7 linked regions of the Neurospora crassa OR74A genome follow. The protein of the gene in region 5 purifies or fractionates together with the protein of the main gene of each other region. This does not show direct contact. Links are inferred from orthologs where the notes say so. Each region holds a gene or a part of one and is shown on either strand. Other genes may lie near its edges.

Evidence for each region.
Region 1: the proteins of pph-3 (region 5) and NCU08353 purify together in Saccharomyces cerevisiae (affinity purification with mass spectrometry; 3 studies listed by BioGRID). This does not show direct contact. The link is inferred for Neurospora crassa OR74A from reciprocal best matches to the Saccharomyces cerevisiae genes GLC7 and YTH1.
Region 2: the proteins of pph-3 (region 5) and un-17 purify together in Saccharomyces cerevisiae (affinity purification with mass spectrometry; 5 studies listed by BioGRID, with this or other methods). This does not show direct contact. The link is inferred for Neurospora crassa OR74A from reciprocal best matches to the Saccharomyces cerevisiae genes GLC7 and PAP1.
Region 3: the proteins of pph-3 (region 5) and NCU08277 purify together in Saccharomyces cerevisiae (affinity purification with mass spectrometry; 4 studies listed by BioGRID, with this or other methods). This does not show direct contact. The link is inferred for Neurospora crassa OR74A from reciprocal best matches to the Saccharomyces cerevisiae genes GLC7 and SUI2.
Region 4: the proteins of pph-3 (region 5) and fkr-4 purify together in Saccharomyces cerevisiae (affinity purification with mass spectrometry; 4 studies listed by BioGRID, with this or other methods). This does not show direct contact. The link is inferred for Neurospora crassa OR74A from reciprocal best matches to the Saccharomyces cerevisiae genes GLC7 and FPR3.
Region 6: the proteins of pph-3 (region 5) and NCU04640 purify together in Saccharomyces cerevisiae (affinity purification with mass spectrometry, with the first as the bait; 3 studies listed by BioGRID). This does not show direct contact. The link is inferred for Neurospora crassa OR74A from reciprocal best matches to the Saccharomyces cerevisiae genes GLC7 and SUI3.
Region 7: the proteins of pph-3 (region 5) and NCU03114 purify together in Saccharomyces cerevisiae (affinity purification with mass spectrometry; 3 studies listed by BioGRID). This does not show direct contact. The link is inferred for Neurospora crassa OR74A from reciprocal best matches to the Saccharomyces cerevisiae genes GLC7 and SSU72.

The regions. Positions count from the first base shown.
Region 1 is NC_026501.1:5,654,103-5,657,551, reverse strand, and holds NCU08353 (mRNA 3'-end-processing protein yth-1), read left to right. Parts: upstream 1-1,433; 5' UTR 1,434-1,753; coding exon 1,754-2,707; 3' UTR 2,708-2,944; downstream 2,945-3,449. Other genes in the region: NCU11325 (alcohol dehydrogenase), read right to left, coding at 1-477, 538-849, 911-1,046, 1,115-1,147; NCU08354 (hypothetical protein), read right to left, coding at 3,145-3,449. UniProt on the Saccharomyces cerevisiae protein: RNA-binding component of the cleavage and polyadenylation factor (CPF) complex, which plays a key role in polyadenylation-dependent pre-mRNA 3'-end formation and cooperates with cleavage factors including the CFIA complex and NAB4/CFIB.
Region 2 is NC_026503.1:4,130,960-4,135,297, forward strand, and holds un-17 (Poly(A) polymerase), read right to left. Parts: upstream 2,903-4,338; 5' UTR 2,343-2,902; coding exon 1,443-2,342; intron 1,394-1,442; coding exon 395-1,393; 3' UTR 172-394; downstream 1-171. Other genes in the region: NCU08984 (hypothetical protein), read left to right, coding at 3,725-3,766, 3,828-3,985, 4,077-4,338. UniProt on the Saccharomyces cerevisiae protein: Polymerase component of the cleavage and polyadenylation factor (CPF) complex, which plays a key role in polyadenylation-dependent pre-mRNA 3'-end formation and cooperates with cleavage factors including the CFIA complex and NAB4/CFIB.
Region 3 is NC_026504.1:2,569,519-2,573,637, forward strand, and holds NCU08277 (eukaryotic translation initiation factor 2 alpha subunit), read right to left. Parts: upstream 2,550-4,119; 5' UTR 2,113-2,549; coding exon 2,035-2,112; intron 1,966-2,034; coding exon 1,595-1,965; intron 1,516-1,594; coding exon 1,279-1,515; intron 1,213-1,278; coding exon 966-1,212; 3' UTR 575-965; downstream 1-574. Other genes in the region: NCU16791 (mitochondrial inner membrane protease subunit 2), read right to left, coding at 1-74, 160-416; NCU08276 (hypothetical protein), read left to right, coding at 3,361-3,683, 3,756-4,119. UniProt on the Saccharomyces cerevisiae protein: eIF-2 functions in the early steps of protein synthesis by forming a ternary complex with GTP and initiator tRNA. This complex binds to a 40S ribosomal subunit, followed by mRNA binding to form a 43S pre-initiation complex.
Region 4 is NC_026501.1:5,029,161-5,033,456, reverse strand, and holds fkr-4 (FK506-binding protein 4), read right to left. Parts: upstream 2,823-4,296; 5' UTR 2,564-2,822; coding exon 2,474-2,563; intron 2,378-2,473; coding exon 1,934-2,377; intron 1,864-1,933; coding exon 1,200-1,863; intron 1,141-1,199; coding exon 935-1,140; 3' UTR 295-934; downstream 1-294. Other genes in the region: NCU16390 (hypothetical protein), read right to left, coding at 3,394-3,574, 3,638-3,792. UniProt on the Saccharomyces cerevisiae protein: Proline isomerase that belongs to an abundant class of enzymes that catalyze the cis-trans isomerization of X-Pro peptide bonds and can accelerate the refolding of proline-containing polypeptides. Specifically binds nuclear localization sequences.
Region 5 is NC_026503.1:2,384,672-2,388,781, forward strand, and holds the start of pph-3 (serine/threonine-protein phosphatase PP1), read right to left. Parts: upstream 2,816-4,110; 5' UTR 1,853-2,815; intron 1,705-1,852; 5' UTR 1,547-1,704; coding exon 1,367-1,546; intron 1,264-1,366; coding exon 862-1,263; intron 782-861; coding exon 482-781; intron 420-481; coding exon 391-419; intron 302-390; coding exon 286-301; 3' UTR 1-285.
Region 6 is NC_026505.1:1,363,814-1,368,186, reverse strand, and holds NCU04640 (eukaryotic translation initiation factor 2 beta subunit), read left to right. Parts: upstream 1-1,429; 5' UTR 1,430-1,795; coding exon 1,796-1,807; exon of another isoform or gene 1,808-2,280; coding exon 2,281-2,422; intron 2,423-2,473; coding exon 2,474-3,124; intron 3,125-3,234; coding exon 3,235-3,301; intron 3,302-3,356; coding exon 3,357-3,456; 3' UTR 3,457-4,103; downstream 4,104-4,373. Other genes in the region: NCU16952 (hypothetical protein), read right to left, coding at 254-363, 464-704. UniProt on the Saccharomyces cerevisiae protein: Component of the eIF2 complex that functions in the early steps of protein synthesis by forming a ternary complex with GTP and initiator tRNA.
Region 7 is NC_026501.1:4,604,561-4,608,223, forward strand, and holds NCU03114 (SSU72), read left to right. Parts: upstream 1-1,311; 5' UTR 1,312-1,476; intron 1,477-1,709; 5' UTR 1,710-1,769; coding exon 1,770-1,912; intron 1,913-1,973; coding exon 1,974-2,631; 3' UTR 2,632-3,062; downstream 3,063-3,663. UniProt on the Saccharomyces cerevisiae protein: Component of the cleavage and polyadenylation factor (CPF) complex, which plays a key role in polyadenylation-dependent pre-mRNA 3'-end formation and cooperates with cleavage factors including the CFIA complex and NAB4/CFIB.

The sequences.
Region 1 (3,449 bases), on a different chromosome or scaffold from region 5:
TCTCACGACCCCCCAAAGCGATCAATGCATCCGGAATTTTTTCGAGACCGACGAACTCCTTGTCGCTGAACACAGTCGGTTTGAACTTGCCTTCGGCAATCAACTTCATGATGCCCTGCCACACGGTCACCACCGTCTCCTTCTCATGGACAGCGTATTGGCCCCAGTGAACACCGACGAGGCTGATGTTCTTGAGAAGAACCTTGTTCATGGCCACCTTCTCGATCTTGCCGGCAGCGAAACCGACAATCAGGATGCGGCCATTCCACGCAGTACATTTGGTGCTCAGATCTACCAGGCCGACAGGATCGTAGACAATGTCAACACCCTTGCCTTTAGGGGTCAACTTCTTCACCATCTCGGGCCACTTGGGGTCCGTGTAGTCGACGACATGATCAGCGCCAAAGGACTTGGCGACTTCGAGCTTGTGCTTGGTTCCGGCCGTAGCAATGACAGTTGCTCCAAACGCCTTTGCAACTATGTGTGGGATTAGCAACGAAGTAGTTCATCTTCGAGACGGGTATGTATGCCACTAACCTTGGACTGCGGCAAGACCTACACCACCGGCCGCAGCGTGAACAAGGACGAAGTCGCCCTTCTTGACGCCGGCCCGAACAACAAGGGCTCCATAGCTGGTTGGTGCCGTCACAAAGAGGCCGGCAGCATCCACAAGCGACCAGCCTTCGGGAGCTGGGAGGAGGGCCGTCTCCTTGGCTTTGACTTTGGTAGCGTACGCACCCTGGCTAGCTCCAAACACACGTGAACCGACGGGGAACTTGGGGTCCTTGAGGCCGGAAGGGGTGGCGAGAACCACGCCGGCGAACTCGGCACCTGATACCCAGGGGAATGCTAAGACGCAACGTCAGCATACTGAATGCAATGTAAGCGGGACTCAATAAAGAAGCCGCACGTGGTTGATTCTGGTATTTGCCCTGAATCTGAAGAATGTCGAAAAAGTTGGTTGCCGCAGCATGAACTTCAATCAAGTACTCATCTGAAGTAGGTGTAGGGTCTGGAAGCTCCGTGACCCTGAGCTCTTGCGGGCTCTGAGTTAAGGGCTAATGTTAGAACCACGAAATGGGAAGATGTCCTGGATGATCGAGATAGGACATACCTTAACATACTGTGCCACCTGAATGCCTCTCATCTGGGAAGGATACCTGGAGTAATAGAGTGCTTTGTTACACTGGAAAGAAGCAGACGCAGAAACACCGAGTGAGATACACAAGCAGTGAAAGAATGACAACCTATATGATTAAACAAGGGTACAATATGGTTGAACAAATGCCGAATAGCCATCGCGGGGGTGACCGCTAGCCCAGTGTAAGGGAAGCCGAGGTAGCCCAGACCGGGATAGCTGATCTCTGATTGGTCACTCACCTTGCATCTCTCGGTGAGTCCACGTCTTATCGATTTCCAACAATCGATTTGCGACTTGTTGCACTCTTTCTCTCCAAACTCTCAACCACACCTTGCTTCAATTTTTTGAATGGCGCAACCTGCTGTGCGAACTTCTCCCGACCAAAGCCGAATTTGAAACTGGGCAAACGCAGCAAAGAATACGACTCTTGGTTAAGCGTGCATAAACACAAGCCACGCGCATTCTCTAGGCAAGATTCATTACGACTGGTCGCCCAGCTACATACCTCTCCGAACCGATCGTGAACCGCTCGCGACAAAACAAGCCTACCCACCTTGAAGCCCGAATCGCACCGGCGAACCACCTTTTTCCCCCCCTCACACATCCGCCGAGATGGCGACAACAACACAGACAACAACAAACTCCCTCCCCTCTGGGGCAGGAGGACCGCAACAACTCGTCACTCAGATGCTCAACCACACCGCGCCACACTATACCTTCTCCTTCACGCCCTTCCTCCAGCGCACGTACCAGCACTCTCTCCCCGCCGACCGACCCATCTGCAAAGCCTACGCCTCAGGCAACTGCCCCCTCAAATCCCACTGCCCCGAGCGCCACGTTACCGCGTCGTCCCAAAACACCCATGGCGGCGGTAACACCTTCAGCGGCGGCTTCGGCTCGCTAGTCTGCAAGCATTGGCTGCGCGGCCTCTGCAAAAAGGGCGAATCGTGCGAGTTCCTGCACGAGTACAACCTGCGCAAGATGCCCGAGTGCAATTTCTTCGTCAGGAACGGGTACTGCAGCAACGGGGACGAGTGTCTGTATCTGCACATTGATCCGCTGTCGAGATTGCCGCCGTGCCCGCATTACGAGAGGGGGTTCTGTCCGCTGGGACCGCGATGTGACAAGAAGCATTTCCGGAGGAAGCTGTGTTTGTATTACCTGGCGGGCTTCTGTCCGGATGGGAAGGGCTGCAAGGAGGGCGCGCATCCGAGGTGGACGGCGGATAAGGATATGGAGAAGCCGAGGGCGAAGGGGGAGGGAGATCAGATGCTGCTGCAGCAGCAACAGCAGCAGCAACAACAACAACACATGGGCGATGCTAATGGTATGGGTGGTGGAATGGCGCAGGCGACGGGCGCGAATGAGTATATGGACCGAGAGAGGGAGCGCGATCGGGATAACAGGGAGAGGGAGATGATGATGCAGGGACGCGATAGGGACGGTGGCGGGCATGATCGCCATAAGGATCGCTTTGGAGGCGGAGGAGGAGGAGGAGGAGGAGGCAGAGGCCGAGGAGGATGGAGGGGAAGAGGAAGGGGAGGATTTAGGGGTAAAGGTCATTAAGAGAACATTGGTCCCAAAGCGGCCAGGGGAGGTCAAATGGTACATGAACATAGCGACATATTTAGGCTAGTGCTCGGACGATGAGAAGGCCCAGGAATCCGGTAGTAAAGACCAGGTATGCATCACGGAATAAGGAATAGGTCACGGCGCAAAGGCAAGGTTATATCTAGTGTATTAGCTGTAGGTCAGGTTTACATTCACAGGGTTTGTGAGATTCTTATAAAAATTGCTAGCTTGACAGTTTTGAGGAGCTGTGATCTGTATGTTCTTCCAAAATAGACTGAGAGGGACGAGATCCCAAAACATGAACGCCGCTCCCTACCTAGGACACCCGTAACCAAATGATAATCAACCCACCGTCTGAGATGCTATGGCATATGCCATTCTTGTCGACACTGCCTTCTTTTGTACTCTTCCAAACTATTCCCATGAAGACTTTACTCCATCGGCACCGCAACAAACAACTCATTCGATGTGCGGGCCCCAGTCCCCACCTCCTCCTCATCCCCATTCTCGCTTCCCATAGACCTCACCGAGCCACCCGACCTTGGGCTATTAAACGAGCTATGACTCGACTGCCACGCCGCCAGCTCGTCCACCGTCCGGATACCCATCATCCACGCCACCAGCCCGCGCGGCACCCAGCGTCCGACAAACCCATACACGCTCGCGCCGAGGCCGACGCGCACAGTGCCCTTGGTAATGGACCCGTCAATCACGTCAAAAACAGCATTATGCAGCT
Region 2 (4,338 bases), about 1.7 Mb from region 5:
CGACGATCTACGGGGGCGAACGTGCAAGCTTTGATTGGCTGCTGGCATTTTGACGTTGACATACTGAGGCGCATATGGCGTTTTCCCCCGAGTACAACGGAACTAACAGCTCAATTCATTAGCAGAAGCAATCGACGCAGCAAAGAATTTGTTAAGATGATGTATAATAGAGCAAGAAGTGAGATGAAAAGTCACGGACGCAAAGACCACTGCGAGATGGAAACTTGGCTTAGTTGATGGGGCACTTGTGCCCCGAAAAACTAAATTTATTAGTCTAGCAGATTTAGCAACTCTATCTTAGATACATTTCTCTACACCTCGCGCGTGGTACTGCTCGCACATAGCAACTAATTTGTCCGTGACCGCCAACAAAATCTGTCTGTACATCCTTCGATCAGTGTTCGCTCTTAATGGTCGGTGGCGCGGTCGCCATCTGTTGTCGCTTGGCCATCGGGCCGTTCGCATGTTCCCCTTCGGCCATACGCTTCTTCTTCTTGACTGGCCTAACAGGCTTCGTCTCTCCAGGCTCGAAAACGTCGTCGGGGAGATCGAAATTCCTAACGTGCTGGATAGTCAATCCCATCAACTCTGCTTTGAAGATGTCGTTCGAGGTGCACATTGCCTTGAAGTCGTCGACTTCTCTGGACAGATCCAGAGACTTAGCTCCCTCTACCAGCTGCAGGCCGATGTAATGGTTAGTGGTGTAAATCTCAAGCTCCGGCTCCTTCTCCGGTATATCCTCCAGCTTAACCTTGTCTTCGTCGTAGTCGTTGGCCTCAGGCTTTACAGAGTTGTCCTCAGGCTTTAGAGGTACCGTTCCTAGATGTACCACGTCGTTCGGTTCTTCCTTGACAGCCGGCACAGTCGGCTCCCGTGCAACACCATCCTCCGTCTTGATCTCCGCCTTGACCTCAACCTTGCTGTCGTTCTTGGCGCTCCCATTCGCGGCTATATCCGTCGGCTTGACCATGTATGTGAGATTTCCGGTTTGAATCTCTTCGACCTGAGCATCCGTCTTGCATCGGTGCACTCTGTCGTAACCTTTGTTGAAGGGGCGGGCAAGGGCGATGGAAGGGTGCAGCTCAAGCTTCTGGACCAGAACACGCACTCTTGACTCGACGAAGCCCGACCAGGTATTCTGCGCCTCTTTGGTCCTGCCGGATGAGATGACCGTCAGGTAAAACTTGAAGCCGTTGGTGAAAAAGGTGTGTTTCTCGAACAAATCTTTCCAAGGCCTTTTACCCAACATGATCTCTTCGGAAATCTGCACCCCCCGTTCCAGCTCCTGTTGAATGACCGCCATTGAAGACCTTCCAACATTGTGTGTCGCGCACATGGAAGGGTATGATGGGGTGATGATGGGCATCTTGTGATTGCGATCACTCGGGTATATCTAGTCTGTGGTGAGACATCAGCGCGACAATGATGAGGGGTTGACTTACCTTGGGATTCCACACCGCTACACGCGTAATGGACTGGTTGTATTCGATATTCTTCAGAAGAACCGGGAGCGGCCATGGCCAGTTGAGCATAATAGTGAAGAATTTCCTGACGATGACAGCACTCGTCGCCTTCGGATAGAGTTGGCATACTCTGGCGACCAGCATAGCCCAAGCCACACCACCAGGATAACCCATGATATTGGCGTAGATAGCCCTTCTCTGAGCCCAGAGCTTGATTGCACGAAGTGCCAGCTTGAACGTCTTCTCTTCGGGAACCAGCGCAAGGATCTCGTCGGTTACGCGTGTTCCGTTGAGCGAGCGCACCTCGTTTTCGGACAAGCCGCGCAGGAGGTTGTTACTGTTCAAATTCCAGTCCTTGTCGTCAGGAAGTTGACGAAGGCTCTGGATTGAACAGAAGATAAGATCTATGCTGATGCCCGAATACTCGAACTTGATGATAGGAACGAAGGCCTCGGGTACTGGAGTCAGGTCGGTGATGGCGCCAGGGGGAGCCATTTCGACAAGAAGGTTGGGAAAGATGTCGAAGTATTGCTTGACGGTGACGTACTTGGGTACAACGACGAGGGTATCGATATCGGATCCTGGCCCATACACACCCAAGCGAAAACTGCCATATGTGAATATTCTGCCTCGAGCGTCGCGAATCAAAATGGCATTGTGCGGCTCCTTTTCCTGCGCGGCCCTCTTCACGAATTCATCAGTAATGCGCTGGAGATCTGCGAGCACCGCCCATCGCTTATCAGTTTCGGCCTGACTTTCGAAGGTGCCCTGCGCGCGCAGCTCTTTGAGAAGGGCCTCGGTCTGTCGTTTCTCGGCGTCGGTAGGTAGCGTGGTCGAGATAGGAGGCGTTACGCCCAAGGTTTGTTCGGGGTTCGACATGGTGGCACGAAGCGCGGTGGGACGAGGAAGCGTGCTGGATGCGCCGCTAAGAGTATCGAAGACGAAATATGTCGTGCAGGACTGATCGATGACGCTGGTCGCGACAAGAGGAAAACTGGATCGCGCGCGCAAAAGAGAGGAGCGCAGGCGCAGTGAGAGAACGCTGACGGGCGAAAATAGAAGTCTATGATGGGATTGAACAGAAGGAACCAAGCAGCTCCACGTAAGGCAAAGAACGCTCAGGTCATGATATGCTGTGCTTTTTGTTGATTCGAAAGATGGTGATACCGGATAGCTGATTGATTCTGATATCGACCCTGGGGCAGTCGGAGAAGCCGAAACCAGACAGGGTGATCGATGGGGATGGATGAAGGGGCTGCGTTAGGTAGGTTGTCGCAGAAGACAAAAAGCACGTCGCCGACTCGGCGCGTCTCGGTTCAGCCTGGGTGTTGAGCACGGACTCCCACTCACCACAAGTCTGGCAGCATGATTGGCGCGAAGCAATGTCCTGTTATTTCAGAGACGCTGGACACTGCAACTTGAAATGCAACCTGCAGGAATCACCCGTAAACCTCTGACGAGTATCCTGGGACCCGCACGGGGATACCTAATCTCCACTGAAATTCAAGTACTTTGGTACCCCCACCATAATAAGACGGGTATCATGTTGGCTTAGGTTTTGGTGTCTTGGTTCCGACAATTCAGGGAGTCAAGCTCTGAAAAGCTCAATCGTCACATTGCAAAGGCCGCTGGACTGCCGCATTTCAGGTAGAAGAAGGTCTTCCCCAGACAACCCGACCTGTTCCTTCAAGTACCTAGGTAGGTAGGCGTAGGATGTCCGTCTGTCCACTTCTGGGCATCTTACAGTACATTCGAGTAACGCCATGGGGACAGGTGAGTTGGCAGAATCAGTTCCATTTTTGCAGTAAACATCGGTCTAATATTCAGGGACGTATTCTATTATATCGGCTGTAAGTACCAATTCAACTTTGGTCTAATGCTAGGTACGTACCATCGGAGTGAAGGTCAAATGACGATAGAGTAGAAGTATGGATTTGGAGAACAGATGACATTTCAAAGCTGCCGCGGCCCCTGTGGAAGATGGGATCTGGCCCCAAGCGGCAAGCAAGGGCAAGACCGGACCAGGTGTCCATGCATCATCCACTGGAGTTCCCCTGGGAGGTCCCTTCCATAGCGCGGCCCCGCCCCCACACTGGCCCTGCAGGCCCCTGCACATGACGCTGCCGCTAGATGGAGGATCACCGTAACAGCCGGGGCAACGTTGAAAGTTTACATGGGTGTCGCATCTGGATTCTCTCGGCCTCCCCTACACTACATCCATTTTGCACCACTTCCACTTTGCTTAGTCTCAATGGGGAAGGATGAAAAAGACATTACTTCTCTGCTTCATCCACGGCTTCAAGGTATGTACAATGAGATTAAGCGACGCGCCAGCCAAGATCAAACTGACATTGTCATGCAAAGGGAGGTGAGTCGACCTTTGGCGACAACTATGCCTTCACCGAGCACCTCCGCCAACTTGTCGCGGCCGACCTACCCAAGATAAACGTCAACGTCGTGGTATATCCCAAATATGAGACTCGAGGGGACTTGGGCGAGTGCGTAGCGCGATTTCGAGATTGGTATGTGCTCATCGACCGCATCCGTTCCTTCATCTGTCACATGCTTGAAGCCCCGAACCATCCCTAACATGGGTCGCCCTCGCTATCACAGGCTCATGAATAAAGTCATCGACCTCGAAGTTGCCGCCGGAACCTCATCGCCCACCATAGATCCCTCGGTCCGCGTCGTTCTAGTCGGCCACTCCATGGGCGGCATCGTCGCCGCCGAAACCGCCATCGAGCTCTCCTCCGACAAGCCTATCCACGGCAGCACCGACCCGGCCGTCGAGGACCCGAAGCTGGACCATCGCACCGCCGACTCCGCGCCTCTCCATCGACCACCCAGCCCCAGCTCGCTCATGTTTCCCTATATC
Region 3 (4,119 bases), on a different chromosome or scaffold from region 5:
CCTTGGTACGGATCACGTCGCCTGCTATTCCGACCACTCTTTTTACGACCTTTCCCTTTGGGTTCAGTGGGTTTCTGGGTTACAGTTAGTCGTCAGGTTCCCAACCAATGCCCCGAATGCGGCACGCCAGATGCTGTAGGATGAGATTTTGGATCTCACCTAAAGGTCACAATCATGCCGCGCTTGAGGTTCCGGTCCGGGTACCACTTAGAGACCAGTACGATGTCCCGACGTGTTGACTCATTGTAGTGCGGGTTGAAGAAAGGATACATGGACGGCCCCTTGATTTGTGTGATCTCGGCAACCCAGCCGTTGAAGACCACCAATGGAGGGATCCATGTTGCGTAGCGAATGAGGTAGTGTGAGAACTGACCGAGGAATCCGTTCCGAATTCCTGCTCCCCATCGCGCCGCCATCGCTATCCGACCAAGCGAGTTATCGAGCTACCGAAGATGTCAATGCGATGCAACTCTTTGCTGTGAATCGCAATGCTGCTGTGAAATAGAGGGCGTATGTTCGCCTCAACGTGCTCAGTGAGCAGGGCAGTGAGCAGTACGGAGCTTGTGTGTTAACATGGAGAAGACAATAATTGCAGCCACATGCCCGGGCAGGCGGCGATAAGAAAACGATGAGATCGCTTATCAGCCCCGGTAGCTGCATATCCTTGAACGCCTAGATCTACCTAGTTACAGCAAGTGCATCCATAAAATGACTATGTATCCATATCAAGTCTTGTGTTCATCAATCCTCGTCCCTCGCTCACATTCATTAGGCATACGCTTGATGCAATCTTTTGGTTGATTCCTCTACCGCCTGAAGGACTTTTGTATCCCCTAGACGCCAGCCCTGTGTCGCAAAAACTGTATACATGCATCCCTAAACCTTTCCTCAAAATAGTGTCGAGTATCCCAATGAGCCTGCAAAGATAGCTCCGTTTAAGAATGGCTGCAAAATGAAGAGGCGCTTTAGACGGTCTCGGGGATATTGTCGTCGGACTCGCTGACACTCTCGTCGCCGCTGACCTCAGCGTTCTCACGCTCACGCTTCTCCATAAGAGCTTGGAGCTCAGCATCATCGGACTCAGTGACAGCCTTGGGCTCCATCTTCACCACAAGGTGGCCACCAGCAGCCTCGATGCTGGTCCGCATGTCTTGAATGGCCTCCTGAAGGCGGGCAATACCGGCATTCTTGTCCAAGCAGGTGTTGGTAAGGCTGTGTATAGTTATTAGCTTCCACTCTGTCTTCAACATTGCAAGACTATTTCTGGCAAAGACTTACACATAAAGGGGAGGGGACACAAGTCTGCACTTGACCTGGGTTTCCTCAGTGTTGCGAGCCTCCGCAGTGCGGAGAGCGGTCTTGATAGCATCGATACCCTCGTAGCCGAAGCAAGTGACCTCAACATCGGCACGGACCTTGGTAGGCTGGGGAGTCAAACGCTTGCTGATGTAGGTCTTGAGCTCCTCGGCAACGGCCTCGGTGGGGAACTGGATGTCATTCCAGACGTCGGGGTTGCTTCACATCCATGTCAGCATCTTGTCCAATACCGCCATTTTGTCCCACAGCTGTACGCCTATTTCCCGGAATGACGTACGTGATCGAAAGCTTGAAGGCATCAAGCGAGTGGCCGTATTTCTTGTTGAGGGGCCATCCTATTGTCTCGTAAAGCTGCTCGATGGGAACAAGAGTCTTCTCGGCAACGTGGCGCATAATCGAGTGGACGATCTTGCTCTTGTTGTAACGCTCCTCGCAACGAACGATATCCTCGGGGGACACACGACGCTTGGACAAATCGATATAACCCTTCTCCTTGTCGACACGGAGAACGACGACGACCTCGTTGCGACCGACACGGATCAACTTCTGGATGGAACGAATACGTCTTCTGGAAAGCTCAGAGAGCAGGATCATGCCGTCGATGTTGTCGTACTCGAGAAGCTTGACGTAGGCGCCCATATCGGCAATCTAATCTGGGGGTCAGCTCTGACGCATCCACATGCGCATGCGCACCACCGGGACCCCAGTGTATCGTACTTGCTTAACATTGACCATAACGAACGAGTCGATTTCAGGATACTTCTCCTCATAGAAACGGCAGTTTGAGAGCGACATGTTGGCGACTGGTGCCTTTTCCCGGGCGGGGCAAACGGTGAAATAAGTGGTGGTGTTAGTGGTGTTGAAAGGGGGAGGGTAATGTCGGCGACGAGCTTCGCGACAATGGGCGAGATGGAATTCGAGTGGATGGTCTGGAGGGGTTGATGGCCGAGAAAGAAAATTGACCGAGTTTCGCTGCAAGTGGCCACAGCTGGGAAAGGTCCTCTGGAAGTTCGAGTTCTGGTTGCGGCAGCGGGTTCTCGGAGGGTCCAGCGAGGCTCAAAGGACTCACTCAAAGTTAGCCAGATGCGTCGCAGTATTTTTCGGGTACCAACCAAAAATTACGTGCAGACAGGCTGCAAAAGTGGCGTGGGCACTTTGGGAGGGAACGAAGTAGGCTGTGGCTGGTGCGCCGGATTGAGGGGTGAATTTCACGTTCTGACCGTGACGGCAAGTGAGACGCGGCTCCATCTTTTTTTTTTGAGGTGGGGTAAGTCGGGTACCTAGGTAAGGAAGCGCACAGCAGCCCAGGTGGGAACAACGGTACGCAAAGGCAGGTACCTGCTCTCGGTTAGGTACCTCTACTTACTCCACCTGCCCCGAACTCCACTGTGCCAAGCGCCAGCTCAGTGGGCAGGAACAACGACGTCAATCGTGAACCGACAGTGGGGTTAGTCACTGATAAGCCTGGAATCTTCCTTGGACATCGTCGAGCTAGGGAGCTTCAATCACTGAACCTTGCTTGTCCACCAACGGCGACTTGGAGATTCGACTTTTGCACGGCACCCAAACGAATCCCGAGGGCCGACCAACACCCGACGACACTGGGCTCATCTAAACCCTCCGCACATGTCGTTACTTTTGGAGGAGCTCACCCGTTTCGCTTTTCTCGACGGTCTCCGTCTTGGGTGACAACACTTGGACCGATATGAAAAAGAACAGAGCGACGACACCGCAGACCAGGTAGTAAGAGTTGGGTTTCAACCACAGGCACATCGGGGAGGGGACAGCTCATAGGTCTTGATCAGGTTGCGACGGTACTTTTGGGGTTCAGACACGCTGATCGATCGAACACCAACTATTCTTCACGACCATCCCCACGACGACGGCGCGACACTACCGCGATACCTACAACCCTATAAAAAAAAGGAAACACAAAAACAAAAACATACATACACACTCTCTTCTTTCTGTCAGAACCGATCTACACGACGGGCTCGCCCGGTAACTCTTGGCTTGCTTGCTTGGTGCTTCAGGCTTCTGAAAATGGAGTCTCTTAGCAACCTCGGCAACGCCATGAGCTCGGTGCTTTCCGAGACAACGTCCACGACTGCGACGGCAATCCTCGCCGATCCTACAGAAGCCCTCTCGTCTGTCGTCGCTCTCGCCAGCGATGCGGTCTCGAAAGCTACTAGCGATGTGGTTCCCGAACACACCCCGACTTCATGGTTCACCATCATCCTCTGGCTGTTGCACCGCATCTCGAGTGTGCTATACTTTGTCATCAAGCTGACCACCATCACTACACCCACCTTTCTGTTCAACATCTTTTCGACTAGTCTGACGGTGACCATGAACGCCACTACGCTGTAAGTCATCCGCCAGCCGCATTTTGTATACATGGACTCAAGGCTGGTGGATCTAACCGTCGGTATGCTTAGTGTGCTTATTATGTTGTTCATGATGGCAGGAGTGACCTGGGTAGTCAGATATCGCTACTTAAACATGTACTCACGGCTTCCTCCTGAGCCCCAGCGCAAAGAGCCAGCTGTTGATCTGTTCCCCGAAACACAGGAGGAAGGAGTAAAGTCTGGGCTAGCTAGCTACTTTGACGAGTTTCTCAGCGCCATCAAAATCTTTGGTTATCTGGAAAGGCCGGTTTTCCATGAACTGACCCGCAGCATGCAAACGAGGAAGCTGATCGCTGGCGAAACCCTCAACCTCGAAGAAGAGCAAGGATTCTGTCTTGTGGTCGACGGTATGGTGGAGATCTTTGTTAAATCCGCCAGAGATGGTCGACGCTCA
Region 4 (4,296 bases), on a different chromosome or scaffold from region 5:
ATCTCGATGGGCGATGGGCACCTTGACTGGGTGAAGAAGAAGCGAGAGACGACCTAGGCGAGCAGTCGTCAGGCTTAGTGGGACGATAAACCGGGATGGCGGTACCCAAATGACTTGATGTTTGGGAAGAGCTCCTCTTCATGTCTCAAGCTCGGTCCTGTCCATTGAATGGTAGAAACCGCTGCGGCGTCTAAGTTGGTCGATCGTAACGCACAATGCCTAGTTTGGCGGCAGTCGGGAGTCGCGGCGGCTATGATGATAGTGAAAGATACAATGACGATACCTATTGAGAGATGGAAGCAGAGCGGGGAGGTGGGAAGACGTGGATGGACTTTGTCAGTGTGTTGAAATACGACAAGGTGCAGTGAGAGAGGACGACTCGGAGTAAGGTAGCTCCATACCTATGCATCACCTGAACTACCTACCCATTAGATGTGCCTCCCTTGCCCCAGGTCAACAACACTGACCTCTTGAGGCACAGACAGGGCAGGTACGACTTCAATTCTGAAGAAAGCCAGTGTTTGTAGCCAACTGTCACGCTTTCCTGGAAGTTATTACCGTCCGTCAATCAAAGACACTTTCCTCGACATCTCGAAACATCCAAGTTTGCCAAGTCCGAGTCGAGTGTAGGTAACGTAGAAATGTTGCGCCTTTGCAATTGATAGACGCAATATAGAATAGATCGTGCCCCATGAACGATGTACAACCCAAAGTACAGAAAGAAATCCAGACCCAATACTTTTGACATTATGCTGTTGAAATGACATTCCCACTTCCTTGACCAAACCCAACATGAGCGCAAGGAAATATGTGCTGACCAAAGAAATCCCAAGACTTGCTAGCCATAGAACACGAAAGGTTGTGGATGACAACCGCCATAGAAATCGCGACGCTAGCCAAAGCCTTCCTACCCCACGCTTCGAAACGTCACAATCTACTTGATCTCAAGGAGCTTGACGTCGAAGATCAAAGTGCTGTTGGGGGGGATGCCGGGAAGGGCACGGCTGCCGTAGGCAAGGTGCGCGGGGATGGTGAGACGACGCTCACCACCGACAGCCATGCCAGCAACACCGATGTCCCAACCCTTGATCACCTCACCCTTGCCGAGCTTGAAAGAGAACGGGGCACCCTTCTTGTTGGCTGTATTGAATATTAGTCTCTAGTCAATACTGTGAGAGTGATGGAAAAGTGAGACTTACAGTCGAAGACCTTGCCGTTCTGGAGCTTTCCGATGTAGCGCATGCCAACACGGTCACCGTTCTTGGCGGCACGGCCGGTGCCAACCTTCCTGTCATCAATGGTGACGCCCTGGACAACCTTGACGGTAGAGGTAGGCTTCTTGTTCTCAAGCTTGTCCTTGGCAGGGCCAGTAGGGCCCTGCTCGAGGTTCTTGGCGAACTGGACCTTCTTGTCGGACTTGGTCTCCTTCTTAGGCTCCTCCTTCTTGGCCTCCTCAACCTTCTGCTTCTTCTGTTGCTTCTTGCTGAGCTTCTTGTCGTCCTTGGAGATCATGGCATCGAGACCCTCGGCATCGTCCTCGGCGGGGCGCTTCTTGCCCTTCTTGCTGGTGTCGACAAGCTTGGGAGCCTCCTCCTCCTCGTCTTCCGAGGTGATCTCCTTGACACGGGGGGTGCCATCGAGCTCGTCGAGCTCGTCGCTCATATCGTCGGAATCGTCATCCTCGCCACCAAGGGGAAAGTCGTAATCCTCGTCGTCGGACTCATCCTCATCATCCTCGCTGTCCTCCTCGTCATCCTCGGGAACAACGAAGTTACCGGTGAGATAGACAGAGTGGGTACCCTGGACACAGAAGAAGACCTTCTCACCCTCGCCGATGGTGATGTTGATGGGCTGCTGGTAGTTCTGTATATGGGGAATCAGGTTAGCTCCAAGAACTCAAAAATACGTTCACCGAATGGATGGGGCTTCTTACGCGCTCAGTGTCAAGGGTGCAGACAACGTAGTCCTCAAGCTGGAGGTCATCATCGCCGCAGCAGTCGCTCTCCTCGTCGCTCTCCTCCTCGTCGGACTCGCTGGCCTTGCCCTTGCCCTTGCCCTTCTTGCCGTTGGGCTTGGCATCCTCCATCTCCTCATCAGACTCCTCCTGGGTAGCAGCCATAAGCTTCTTGATGGCAGCCTCCTGCTTGGCCTTCTTGGACTTGGAAGGGTCGCTGGGACCACCGTTGGCCTCGTCGTCAGAGTCGCCGCCGCCGAGGAGGGACTGGAGGTACTCATCCTCCTCCTCATCATCGTCGTCATGGTCGTGGCCAGTGGCCTTGATGATCTTCAGGGTCGAGCGGGGGAGCGCGGGAATGTTGCCTTGGCCGTCAGCCTCAGGAGCCTTGGTGGGATCGAGGGCGGCCATGGTGATGTGAATCTGGAATTCATGTCGTTAGCTCCGTGTAACCCAGTCCAGTGGAGCGCCATTGCCTGCGAAGGAGAGGGCCAAAGGCTCCGAAAAGTGTGCACTTACGATAGCAGGGAACTCAGAGGCGGCGGGAATGAGGATCTCGCCAGGAGGAACCTCCAAGCCAAAAACGGCGACAGGCATAAGGGGGGCCATTGTGAAGATTGGGTGGTGCTTTGCGCCGGGGTATCAAAAAGTCTAGATTTTAAAGAAAACTAAAGAGACAGGAACTCGAAGTCGTCGTCGGAAGTATACACTTCTAAGATTGAAAGAAGATGAATGGGCTGGGTAGAAAAAGTCTGAAGATGGATGCGACCAGTTTGACTTGGGAAAGGCAGAAAATGCGATCGAGGACGAGGGCGGTCGACAGGAAAAGTTCAGGCGAACTGCACTTGGAATCCAGAAAAATTTCGGCACCCCACCGTCTGTACTGTCTGTTACTGTAGCGATAAGACTTCCTTATCGGTTCACTGCCACTCTCCCGCTCCCCAAGCCAAGCTAGCAAGGGTATGTCGGTCAATGCAGGCCGGTCTGCTAACAAAAGCGGGGAAGAGTTCGACAAGCTCCGCGCTAACGTCGTGCGCGGACGCTTGATGTGCCTAGAGCTGGCATGGGAACCTTGCGACGACGGGATGTTCAAACTGCAACTCGTCATCACCGACTCGAGGTTTGAAGGTGGTCGCCGCGGGACTGCAATCTTTTGCCATCTGCAGGATTCATTGGTGCCAGAGCAAAGTGCATCAGGTGGGAGGTATAAGAATGAACACCATGCACCACAGGTACATGTCTGGAGTCTCCCGGCGATGCCATCCCACATCACATCGGTCCCCCAGGCTCACGGTTCACTCCACCTGAGTGAGAGGATTCACCAACGAAAGCATTTCTGAGGGATTCAAAGCAAGATTAGGTAAGCCCCTGGCTGAACCTTCAGGCACACCTTGATAACCCAGCATGCCACAGTCATCCCATCATCAACGCAATCGTCTCTAGATCTTGTCTCGATTTTCATATCTCTGCGGCCTCTCATCCACCTTAACGAGCTTCAATCCCGACTTAGCCACTGGGCCCGGGAAGTGACGGCTCTGCCTCGCGTAAGCCGCAACGAGATCATTGCCGTTGGTTACGCCTCCTATAGTATTCATCGAATGTCGGCCCAGTCTTCTGGGCCTAGTCAGGAAGGGATGAAAACAAACCACTAGAATAAGCCAAAGATTCCCATCCCCCACCCACCTCAACTTCTCCGCCACCCGAATAACGTCCTGGTCCTCGAATCTCGTCCGCAGATCTCCTTGCAACTCTCGCGGTCCACAGGCTTGCTTGCTTTTGAGTATCCCGGCCGCACCGCAGAGGTAGATGGCTGAGTAGACGCTTAGGATGTCTGTCATTTTCGTCTGGTTGTTACTGGTGTTGTTCGCATGCCCTGCCAGCCACGACAGAGCGGCTGGGCCCTCTTAGAGGTCAAGCTAAGGATTCCGGTCCCGGAATCAAGACGATGTCAAGCTTTCCTGGTGCCACTTCAAAGCGGATGTCTATGGAGGCTATCAGAGGGATTGGGTGATAAATAGTTGGACTCTGCTGATGTTTTTTGTGTCGTTTTGGGGGGGGGGGGGGGGGGGGGGGGGGGGGTAGTCAGCTATCATTATCACTTCCTCTAGCGGTAGGTTTGTTGACCGCGGATCATCAATTGGAACCATTGAATATTGCACTGAACTATGTAATAGAAGATCTCCACACTAGGCGCCAACATGGAAATAGGCAAGGGTTCCATCCCCTCCCTTACCATTTCGAAGTATTCTCCGCTCATAAAGGCAAAGATGTCGACACATGCTGTGTCGAACAGTTGGGCGTTCTAGGGGGTGAAGACGTCTATGCGCACCACTTACAGTCGC
Region 5 (4,110 bases):
AAGGTCGTTCGTTATTCATCCCCCGAGATATAAAAAGATTCCCTTTCCTTCCTACCCTCTCGAGTTGTGTGGAGACCGGACGGATGGAGAGACAGGACGGGCAGACGTGGCTTTCGTTTCGTTGGCACGGCAGGAGGGGCGAGGACCTCCCCAAAAGAAGTGGTCGGAACAGACGGCAGACGGGATGATGGCTGGGAGCCCTGGCGATCAGGAAACATGGCGGCGGTAGACAAGCTGACGGTAAGATACTCATGTTCGTTGCGGGCGGGCGAAAGTATCAGACGTTTATCGGCGGCCGAACCTAAAGGAAAACGGGTGTGTTCGTAAGAAAATTCTTTACTTGTGCTTCTTGGGGGTCTTGAATTGCTTCATCTGAGACTGGGAACGTACTTCTGTTTCTTCTCTGCGGGCTTGAGAATCTGCAAAGGGGGTTAGCAAGAGTGCAAGGGTCTCGGAGCTTGCCAAAGTCAGAAAAACATACCTGGAAAGAGCAGAGCAAACTTTCGTCGACGCTCATCATAGCACCAGCGTTGTCGAACTCGCCGCAGTAGTTGGGGGCACTAAACAAAGTAACGAGCTGGCGCTTCGAGAAGAACTCATATCCGTCCTCAACAACCTGGTGAGCACGGCAGATCAAATCCATGTCGTGTTTTTGGAGGAAGCGAGAAACGACATCCGGGCCGAATGTGAAGGAAACACCACGATCGTTTTCGCTCCAACCAGTAATGTCCTTATCGGGATCCGACCACAGGAGATCGCAAAGAAGACCGCAGTCAGGAATCTGGCGCTATTGTTAGTGTCTCATGTTACGGCAACTAGCCTGAGCAAACGGAAAGCCCGGGCATGAATGGTGTAACGTACGTCAGTTGGTCGCATGACTCGGCGGATCTGCTCCATTGAGTTCAGATCCGGGCTCAAACCACCGTGCATAGTGAAAATCTTCTCGTCGATAATGGCAGCGATCGGTAGGCAGTTGAAGCAGTCGGTGAAGGTCTTCCAAAGCTTGATGTTGTACCTCCGCTTGCACTCGTCGTAGAAACCATAGATACGGTTGATGGACGCGCACTCGTGGTTGCCACGAAGGATGAAGAAGTTCTCGGGGTACTTGATCTTGTAGGCGAGGAGCAGGCAGATGGTCTCCAGGGACTGCTTGCCACGATCGACGTAGTCACCTAGGAAGAGGTAGTTGGCCTCAGGAGGGAAGCCACCGTACTCGAAGAGGCGGAGGAGATCATAGTATTGACCGTGGATATCGCCGCAAATCTAGGGAGGTGGGGCACGACGTCAGCTATGAACACTGCCGAAGGGGCAGTATGGCGCATGCCGAGGCTATGTAAAGGGATAATAGAAAGAACACAATGCTTACCTTGATAGGAGCCTCGAGCTCAAGCAGGATGGGCTGGGAAATGAAGATTTCACGGGCCTTGGTGCAGAGATAGCGAATCTCGGCTTCCAGCAGCTGCACCTGCTTACCAGGCCGGCTGCCCCGCACCTCCAAGAGGCGGTCGATTATAGAGTCGAGGTCGACTTCGGTATGGTCCGCCATTGCAAAATCCTCACCAACCGGAGAGATACCGCGCACAGGTTTTCGAAGTCACGGTAACGACCGACAAACCCCAGCTAGTCGGATGGGACGGGTCTAAAAGAGCGGCACGCGTAAGGAGTAGGAAACTGGGGTAGATGCACTTCTGCAAAGCTAAACGACTAATTCAAGACGTTAGACATTGCCAATGACGACGCAGATTCTGATTGGGGTTTGCCGCACGCGATCGCGATGGCGGGAAAATGAAGGAGGAGCGACGGCTGGGCAGAGACTGGGAAGCCGCAATGTAACGGCAGTTGATCAACTTACGCTCAGAAGCGATCCCAGCAAGAAGCGATTGTTGGGGGTTTTTTTTTTTTTGGAGAGGCGAACGCGTTCTCCTTGGGAATACAGCAAGCGGTGATTTTTTTGGTGTTTTTTTTTTCTGGAAATAGGTATTCTTTCGGATACCGAATGTTGTGCTTTGGTTTTAGTAAATCGTCACTGGGTTTGGCGGAGGTGCGAACGGTCTAGAGCAAGCGCAAGCAAATCTCGTCGGAATTGCGAAGAAATCGGTCCGGTAGTACGCGGCGACAAGAGGGTTAGCAATGATGGAAAAAGGAGACGGCTCCAGAAGTCTCTGATCGTCCTTTGTGAGGTAACGTGTTTTTTTTTTTTTGTCGCGCGGACGGGGCTGGGGCAAAACGCCGTGTCGTCGTCGAAAATCTGGGTTCGAAAAGGTCGGGTGTAGAAGGGGAGTTCAAGTAGTCCTGAGACTGCGGGAGAGGCTGTCACTGCCACTGCCAAAACCACGGTCGGGAAAAACTGGTCGATGGACTGCCCGGGAGAGTGCAAAGTGCTGCAGCGAGGTGCAGTACAGAGCGCTGGGCCGGTCGGAGGGTCGCTGGAAAAAGCTGCGTCTAATTGAGCGACGGAGGCCAGAAGACGAGATACCGCGAGATGATGCCTATGATAATAGGACTTCTATCGCCAGGGTGGGGTTGAAAATGCGCGTTCTTTGTGGTTAAAGACGTCGCCCTGTTTTGGTTGGGATAGAAAGCGTCGGGAGAAAAAAATCAACGTCGGTGGTGGTTGCTTAGAGACTTTTGGGAGGAGACGGACAAGCGCAGACGCTTCCACTTGGGCTGCCCGCTGCTGGGGGGGGGGGGTCCGGCCGGGCGATGGGCTAGGTAGAGGTAGGTAGGTAGAGAAGACTGGCGACTGGACTGGACGGGGACGCAGAGAAGGGATTGGGCTACTGGGCCGATGGAGCAGCAAGATTTACACGCACGCAACGCAGCTAATGAAACGCACAGGGCTTCCAGACTACCTACTAGCAGTGGAGAGCAGTAGGTAGAGGTAGGCAGGCAGGTCCAGGTCCAGGTCCGCGTTCTTTCAAGCCCAGGTCAGGTCACCTCGGTGCCTGCCAGTCAGGTTATCGTTACAACAACCACAACAGGCGTCCGGTCGGGTCGGGTTTCGGTGCAGTTGTGATCTTTTCCGCCGACTGGGCTCTCATCCACATCGATGGAATGAACAGGACAGCACTCAGTGACATGGAACGAAAAAAACTCGAAACATCCGACGCGATGGCAGGCCAGAACAACCCTCAACTTAAACTCAAACATACCTACCTACGGCTGAAATAACCCAAACAAGGACAGGCTCAGATTGGGTGAGCTAGGTTAGGTAGTTGGTACCTAGGTTGCCAGCCAGGTAGGTAGGTACCTACCTAGGTTTCGCGCCCGCTCTGAATCTCCGTCAGATCCTGGCCGAGCCCTTGTGCCCTTTCCAGTTGCAGTGAAGCGGCCCTTCCAACTTGGCTCGAGAAAAATTGCATGCACTCGCCTCTGGGGAAGCAGGTATGATGATAGGTCGGTCCATGTTGCTCACTAACGCGACTGGGTAGGAGCTGCGCTGCCTTCCCCCGCAACTGCGAGCACTTCTGTTAGCAAGAGTCCCGAACACCGGACCCTCCTTGGCAGGTCTAGGCCTGGGATTGGCTCGCCTAAAAGCCGCTTGCGATCCCGTTGGTGGGTGTCGCCTGGAACTTCCATCTCTCCCAACCCTCCAACTTCCCCCTCCCTGTGTAGAGATAGTGGACTGTGAGTGTGACACCTTACCTGGTATGTACACGGCAATAGCAAAGACGGGAATGCCTTCTTGGTCGCCTTGTTGTTACTTTGCATTGGTATTCCGGCTTTGTCCTCTTTGCTCGTTTCCCCCCACCATCAGCATCAGGTTCCGCAAACGCAATGATAGGCAGGGCAGCCTGGCTACATGGCCTACACCTAGATCAGGCACAAGCACCCGGTATGCATGATTACAACAGCTCGAAGCGAAGGAGTATAAAGACAGGTCGACAGGCAACGGATATCCAGTCAACAACGAGCAAAATATTCGAGCGACTCAGCCGCCGACGTGTATCCGCAAGATCAGTGAGACTGGGAGCTCGACAGCAAATGCGCAAAGCCTCAGTCAGGCTGTCGAGAATCTTGGGCATCTTGGAGATCCAGGTAGTCCTCTGCGGTCATAGGTGATGCTTAGCTGCATATCAAAACCTGAGATTCTGGTAACTCAAGAATGCC
Region 6 (4,373 bases), on a different chromosome or scaffold from region 5:
TTGCTTCCACAAGTATAACGACAGTCCACATGCATTCTACACATGTCTGTAATTCTTCACCACCAATGCAACGCAAACTGTGCAAGAACGAAACATACCCCTTTATGCTAGTGTTCCCATACCGTAACGCCAAAAGAGCACTGTGTCCACCCCTGGTATCCCAGATTATACCGAAAAAATAGGGTATCGAGAATTGTGCTGCCGTCGCCTTTGACTCGAGTACCTCATCACCACGGTCGCCTGTCTGCCTCCCTCATACTGATACTGGCGTAGCAGCTCCTATCCAACCGGCAATGTTGAATAGCGTCTTGTTATACCATTGGACCTTGACCCCGTGCGCCCACTCCATGTACCGTCCCCAACCTGCCGGGCCATGTTAGCAACTGACTTTCCGCATCGTCGTTATTGTCTCCTCCCACAGCGCAAGCTGTCTTTCCCAAGATCTGGTTTTGGTTTGTCTTACTCCAATAAGCAAACTTGCGCCCCAAAAACTTGCCCGCGAACGGTATTAGCACCAAGTTCAAGAGAAGCTGCAGCTGCTCGAGACTCTGTTCCCATTCCTTTTGTGCGTCTGATTCGTCGTCGTACTCGGAGTCGTCCGAGCCTAGGATACTGCTGGAGATGGACGGGAGGGAGTCGACATCGTCGTTGTCGGTTGACGGGGAGTGGTCGTGGAGGACGTAGGAATCGGAGGGGGTGGACATGGTTTTGGATGTCCCGAATGCGCAATTTGTCTGTCTGAGGGTATCGCGTCTCTGGCCGGGAGTAGGTAGCTATCGTCAGTGTGGTTTGGATGAGGCGAGCAAGTGGTCGGCGCCGGCGCACGGTCGGTTGTCGCGGTGAAGATGGTACTGTAAGTAGCTATCGTAGCTCGGGCAAATTGCGATAGTTCGGGATGGAGACACTGTACGAATCGGCGTAACGCCTGACGTGTAGGATATTGTAGAAATCGCGTGGGACGAACTTGATTGCTGCTGGGAGATTCGTTGTCGGTTACGAACACAGCGATACACGGAGATGGATACCTCTACGGACTCGGCGCGCCTTCCAAGGTTCGTGATGGAGCTGGTTGTTGTCGGTGACCGATGACGGGCCACGGCACCAACTGCTGCAGCAGTGCAGCTATGCGATGCTGGAATGGACACCACTCACCTATCGCTGCCGCCAAGCACTGCACCGGACTGCAAGTGCCAGTGCCAACCCAACCGTGTCGGACTGTGCGGCCGTGGCTCGAGCGGGTTGAAGGCACCGTGCTGCAGGGAGGAGGGCTGCATGGCCTGGAAAATGGAGAAGCGGAGGCGATTTGTAGTTGCAAGTGGCGGGCAGCTGTCTGAGCTCTTCCCACCCCACTTGTCAGGTGATTGAGAAGACTGACTCACAGTTTCGCTTCAATCAACGTCATGAGGTGAACACAGCTGAGGCGTGGTGCCGGTGCCCCATCCAGAGCCGTGTGTACAGAAAGAACTCCGCTCAGTCTCCAGCCCAACGACAGAACTAAACGACAGTAGTAGTAGGTAACCAGACCAGGACCCAAGCGGCATCCAACTACCTAGGTCCCCGCAAAGAACAATTCCAGGTCCGAAACTGAAAGAAAGCTGAGATCAGTCTGCCTGCATCGATACCTCTCCCGACCCCAAAGTCTACCTAATCTCATCCATCGACAAAATCCACTCTCTGCGACCAACAAAGAGTCCACCGGAAGAGACATCGATTACAAAGAAAAAGACGGACAATCACACACCTACAGACAGACAGACAGACACCACCACACTCTCAAACACACCAGTGGCCCAGCATGGATTCTGAAGTAAGTACCTGGGATGGATCTCCTTGCTTCAGTACACACTCACTACCTCTACGCCCACACAACACACCCTCCGTCCTCCCCGACCCTACCACCACGCTAGAGGCAGACACCTCGAGCCCTGGGGGGAGCCACGCTTCTCGCCTAGTCAAAAATACTAAGGAAATAAAAAGTCCCATTCACCACACTGCACACCCCTCACTGTACTTTGCTACCTACGCAGTGCAATTATACCTATCCCCGGCCCCAGCCCTCAAGTCCCCTGACGTGTACTGCCCCTCCAAGGCGCCAACCCTCTCCCTCCACCCCCAGCCCAAAATCCACCATAAAGTTCTGGCACTCTGCAGCGCGAAAACGCCGCCAATCATCCCAAAAAATTCCGAGCTTTCCTATCCACACTCGACGGCGAAATCCTTGACCGCTATCGCGACTCCCACGACAAGCGCCTTATCCACTCCGATATACTAACCCTTTAGGCGCCCTCTATCAAAAGACGCCCCTCGCGCAAGTCTGTCACCTTTACCGACGAGAAGCTAGTTGTCAACCCCGACGGTTCTGTCACCATGGACGCCTCTCCCGCCGACGAAATCAAGGAGACTGCCCAGTCCCACTCTGCTCGTACGCCGCCCCTCCACGCCGCTCTCGGGGCCTTTACTGATGCCCCCCAAGCCACCGAGCCCCAGGATGCTGCTGCTGCTGCCGCCCCCGCCGCCGATGATGGCCTCGACCTTTCGCTCATGAAGAAGAAGAAGAAGAAGGTCAAGAAGGAGGACGATGCCGACGCCGCTGCTGATGAGGCCGCCCCTGCCGAGGGTGACGGTGCTATCGACCTCACCATGAAGAAAAAGAAGAAGAAGAAGGTCGTCAAGGAGGATGATGAGTTCGCCAAGAAGCTGGAGGCTCTCAACATTGAGGGCAAGGAGGGCGAGGAGGCCGCCCCCCAGGAGGACGAGCAGGAGGGCGATATGGACCAGGGCACCGGCATTTGGGCCCACGACGAGACCAAGCCCATCAGCTACAACGCTCTTCTGTCCCGTTTCTTCGCCCTTCTCTCGCAAAAGAACCCCGACCACGCCTCTACCGGTACACGGTCGTACAAGATCCCGCCCCCGCAGTGTCTCCGTGAAGGCAACAAGAAGACCATCTTCGCCAACCTGCCCGAGATTTGCAAGCGCATGAAGAGAGCCGACGAGCACGTTACTTCTTACCTTTTCGCCGAATTGGGTACCAGCGGTTCCGTCGACGGCAGCAGGCGTCTGGTCATCAAGGGTCGTTTCCAGCAGAAGCAGATCGAGAACGTTCTGCGTACCTACATTATCGGTATGTCTATTTGATCCTGTCGTCGTTTGGACGTTTTGCGCCCAAGTAGACAATGTCACCACCAGCACCCAACGTTTTGCTCTGACTACAAATGCTAACATGCTCAACAGAGTACGTTACCTGCAAGACGTGCCGTTCCCCCAACACCGAGCTCTCCAAGGGCGAGAACCGTCTTTAGTAAGTTGGCCTCTGTTTACGACGACCATAGCCCCAAAATGCTGACATGTCACAGTTTCATTACCTGCAACTCTTGCGGTTCTAGGCGGTCTGTCCAGGCCATTAAGACCGGTTTCTCTGCCCAGGTCGGCAAGAGAAAGAAGATGCAGGGTTAAGCGGTTTTTGTTTTCTTGTTTCGAGGCCCTTGCAGTTTGCTTTTCAATGTTTTCACGCTTCAAGGACGGAGTTAAGACGGCATTGTATATGGCTGGTTGGGCACGGGTCTTTTACGAAGTAGCACGGCCCCTCTGAACGGCAATCTCTCATCTCCAGTACACGAGAGAGAGGATGGAAGAGAGAGTCTGTGCTACAAAATCAGGTGAATTCCTTACGCGGTAGGGTACGGGTTAATATGACGATACTTGATGAAGAATTGGTACACAAAAAGTTCTGGTTTTTGATGATGGTGGCACACTTATCCTTACTTTGCATAGGGAGTCTGATAAAGAGGAGGGCTTTCTTCTTTTCCTGAGCTTGTCTGATTTATATGGATGAGGGCTGCGAGGTTGTATCTAGACTGATGTGGGATTCAGAGGTTCTCAGGTCATTCATGACCATGGTCAGCAAGCTAGACTGGGAGAGCAAGGAAGAGGCTGACTGAGCGCAGGATTACGAAGCGATGGATTTTGAGATCTTGCGAACAGGAATTATTCTCTGTTCTTTGCAGTATGTATAGCCATTCAGTCTACCTTTATAAACTACATTATGTTATCGAAACTCAAAGTGGCAGTTGAGTAAAATGATAAACCTTGATACTCCGCGATTGGTGAGAAAAAGCGGCCGCTTAGGTTCGAAATCTCACCTTGACGCGTATACATTGCGTATACACTACGTTCCGATGTTTTGGCGATCGATCCATGATATGCCGAGCACATGCATGATAGTTAGCTTCGGGAGAATCTTTCCCCTCCACATTTTGCATCAACAAACCCATATAAGACGATGGGCCGCAGGCAACAACTCAACGGTTCAACCTCGTCTGTCTGTTCGATAGATTAGTCAACACTTTCCAAGTCAACGCGTAACGTGACTC
Region 7 (3,663 bases), on a different chromosome or scaffold from region 5:
GTGAAAGTGTGCGAAGGGGCACACTGGGGTAGCAAGGTGGGCAATTGTCAGCTTAAAGAGCTTGTATAGACATGGAGAGGCCTTGTGTGGTCGGCAAGCTGAGATGAGCGATTGCGAGCTGTCAATATAGACAGGGTATGGTGGGAACGGAGGGGGATTCGAAGAAAAGAGGAGAAGAAAAAGAGGCAGAATCTCAGGCAGGAACAGGTAGGTAGATTTGGGGGGGGGGGTGCCGCATCAAGTTACTACCTCTACTTACGACGGGATACCTCTAGTACAACTTGGACAAAGTTAAGCGCGCTGCCGCAGGTTTACTCCAGGTTTAGGCCTGCTCCTCTCATTGGCAAATAGCAACCGCTGGTCACCTGCAATCAATCAGTCGAACCTCTGAGGACGGGACTCGGTCGCCTTGGACCAACATACCTAACCTCTTTGCTTATCCTGTTAGTGTCGACCTAGACGATGGCTGGCAAATTTTTGGGTAACGAATCGGGGTTAGGTATGGGGGGCTCAAAAAGTCCACTTCAGAGGACAGCTCTCGTTGACAAAGGCGGGCAACTTGCAGGACACACTGCAGTTTCTGTGTGTCAACCACGGAGATTAAAACTTGAATTTGATTTTACGCCCAAAATACCTCTACGTTCTAACACATATCGAAACAGGATATACCACGCGGGTAATACTGCCATTTGCAAATGTACTTTCTACGTGTGCCTCTATTGTTGGTTAACATGTTCCAACGAAGAAAAACTTCGCACGAAACTCTCAACTTCCCGTCCCAACAGGGATGTTTATCACTGCATGTTTGTGTCCACCATTGGATGTTCTCGATGCCTTCGATGTGGGTGATTGGCTCCGTGAATGCGTCCCGAACAGCAACGTGGTACCCATGGAATTTCCCAAGGCACTAGCTATGAGTTGCGCATTCCCTGTGTGGGACCTTTTAAGAAAAGTTATTGAAAAGGTAAGTTCCAATGTTCTGTGCACGATATTCTACAGTGCATCGATACGCATGGTGACCGAGGCTCGAGGCCCGTGAGGTTTGGGTCCTGGGAGAAAAAAAAAATACCTGGGGATCGTCTCACTGTGATTCTGCAGTGCATATCCGCGGACCGCTGCAGACTCGAGAGGTGGGGGAAGTTGACGAGAACGGAAAGAAGGGCAACGGGCTGCAAGACGCACGAGCCACCCACCATTTCACTCTGAAACACTGAAACGTTCTAATTTTGGAAAGCGGTCAGATGGGGCACTATGTGCGTATGACCACCACTTGTCCCTCGCAGTCGGTAACCAAACAGATTTGTTCCAAATTCCACATCCCACTTTTCACCGTCCAAAATCTCCGCGCCAGCAGCAACTGGTGAACAGGTTTGGACATCAACGACATTTAACAAGTTATATATGTGTGGTAGCAGGCTACCTCGACTAACTTAATCATCATCTGTCTGCGCTTTGCGCTCAGCTGAAGCTTGAAAGGTAATTCCTGCGCTCTTTTCCGCTCTCCCTTTATCAACCGTCTCTTTCCTTTATGATGATCTTTTTATTGGAGCTGTCTGTAGCCTGCTATGTCTGGCGTTTGATGACAAACTTTTACATACGCTTTTTTTATCTGATGTGTACCGAGGACAACCTACACTTTTGCACTTGCCATGTCTGTATCGCAGAAGGGAACGCATTGATAACTAACATTGGCATCTTGCGCTTTCTAGGTCTTTCCAGTCAAGCATGCCACATCTGCCACAGTAACAAGTTACCTGCAACTGCCGGCTATGTCTGCTGTAGATACCCCAACTGGTGCCGCGAGCTCATCGAAGCCGGACCAGAATGAGCAGAATGGTCAAAACGGTGGGCGTGAAGACTCTGGCGGCTTCAAGCTAAAGTTTTGCACCGTCTGCGCCAGTAACCAGAATCGGTGAGCAATTTTACGCATCGCATCGTCACGCAACTGGATGACCCCGTCTAACCCTCACCAGCTCCATGGAAGGTCACTTGCGACTCTCTCTTGCAAATTATCCCGTGATTTCGTTTGGTACAGGCTCTCTTGTCCGTCTCCCCGGGCCGTCCATTACACAGCCCAATGTCTACAAGTTCAACGAAACATCATACGATAGTATATATCGGGAGTTGGAAGCCAAAGACCCTCGCTTATATCGCGCAAATGGACTGCTAAACATGCTTGGGAGAAACCGCCAAGTCAAGTGGGGCCCTGAGCGATGGCAGGACTGGCAGATTGGAATGCCTAGAACCAAGCACAAGGATGACAAGGGAGCTGATGGCATGGAGGGCGGCGTAGCTGATGTTGTCATCACCTGTGAGGAACGCTGTTGGGATGCTGTGATTGAAGATCTTCTCAACCGTGGCTCGCCACTTAACAGGCCTGTTCACGTCATCAACATCGATATCAAGGATAACCATGAAGAGGCATCCGTGGGAGGGCGAGCCATTGTCGATTTGGCAGACTCACTCAACAAGATTGCTGCCGAGGAGCGGGAGAAGGTTGGCGCTTCTGCCTTTGACTCGGGAAGCGTAGGCGCCAGATCAGGATTCGATGAGCGCGTACCGGACGTCCTGGCCGAGTGGCAGGAGAGATGGCCGAATCTTCCTGCGACATGGACTTTGGCTTGGTTCTAAGCATTGAATTGGCGTATTGTTTGAGCTCGTGCATCGTAAGGCGTTGGATGTTCTTTTTATTGCCTGGCGGGCGTAATCGCGGTTACGGACAGGGTGGGGGGTACATCTTTTTGGGTTCATGATTGATGACCAAACAACACAGACGAACAAGACGTTTTGGCCGTCACAACATAATGCTGATTTGGACTCGTAATCTCTATCAACAAGCCGTTGTTATCCGGGATTTATGAATTCTGCTGCTGCCATGATTGGCTTCAACTTGCTATTTTGTGAGGTCGCACCCCTCCTGGTTTTCTCAGAATATGTCGACCTCCGTGATTTGGCAGGCCATTTCCTCTTCCACCAGCCAGACCGCCAATTAAGCATTTTGTTTGTTACGCATATGCTTACTTCTATCACAAACATAATAATATCGCATGCATACATGCTCGGAGATGGGAGCTCATCGGCCCACCTGACGAGTACCCTGCATGGTATCCCAAAAAGCATTTTAAGATGACGAGCCGCACGGTTCATTATACGCAACATTGGATGCAAAGAAAACATAGCAGAATTTTGGAGATCTTCCTTGCTTATTGGGATCTGGGGTACTCAACGGTTGCCAGCATCTAGAAAATATCGAAACATGCACAACCGGGCAACCGGCCGTGCCCCCGCAGTGAGCAGGCCTACTTGTGACAATGCAACTAAACGCGCGAAGGTCAAAAATGAAATACATGGGGCTGTGGTGGCCATTGGACACACACTTGGAAGACGAAGACCATTAAGGTTACTGCTAATGCATGTTGTCACTACCTATCATGTTGGGGTGTTGGGCGGGAGTGCCCGAGGTCGAGGTGGCATTTGATGTGATGCGGGTATGCCTACATACCCATGTGGATAAATCTCAATATCTATATCGTCGGTCTCAAGTAAGAATTGCATTGTATTTCGGCAGACGATTGCCGGTCTTGGGCTGTTTCACAACGAGACGTTTTAGTGGAATGATAAACCACTGCAGCGGCGCAGAGTCGATCACCGTTGACTAACATG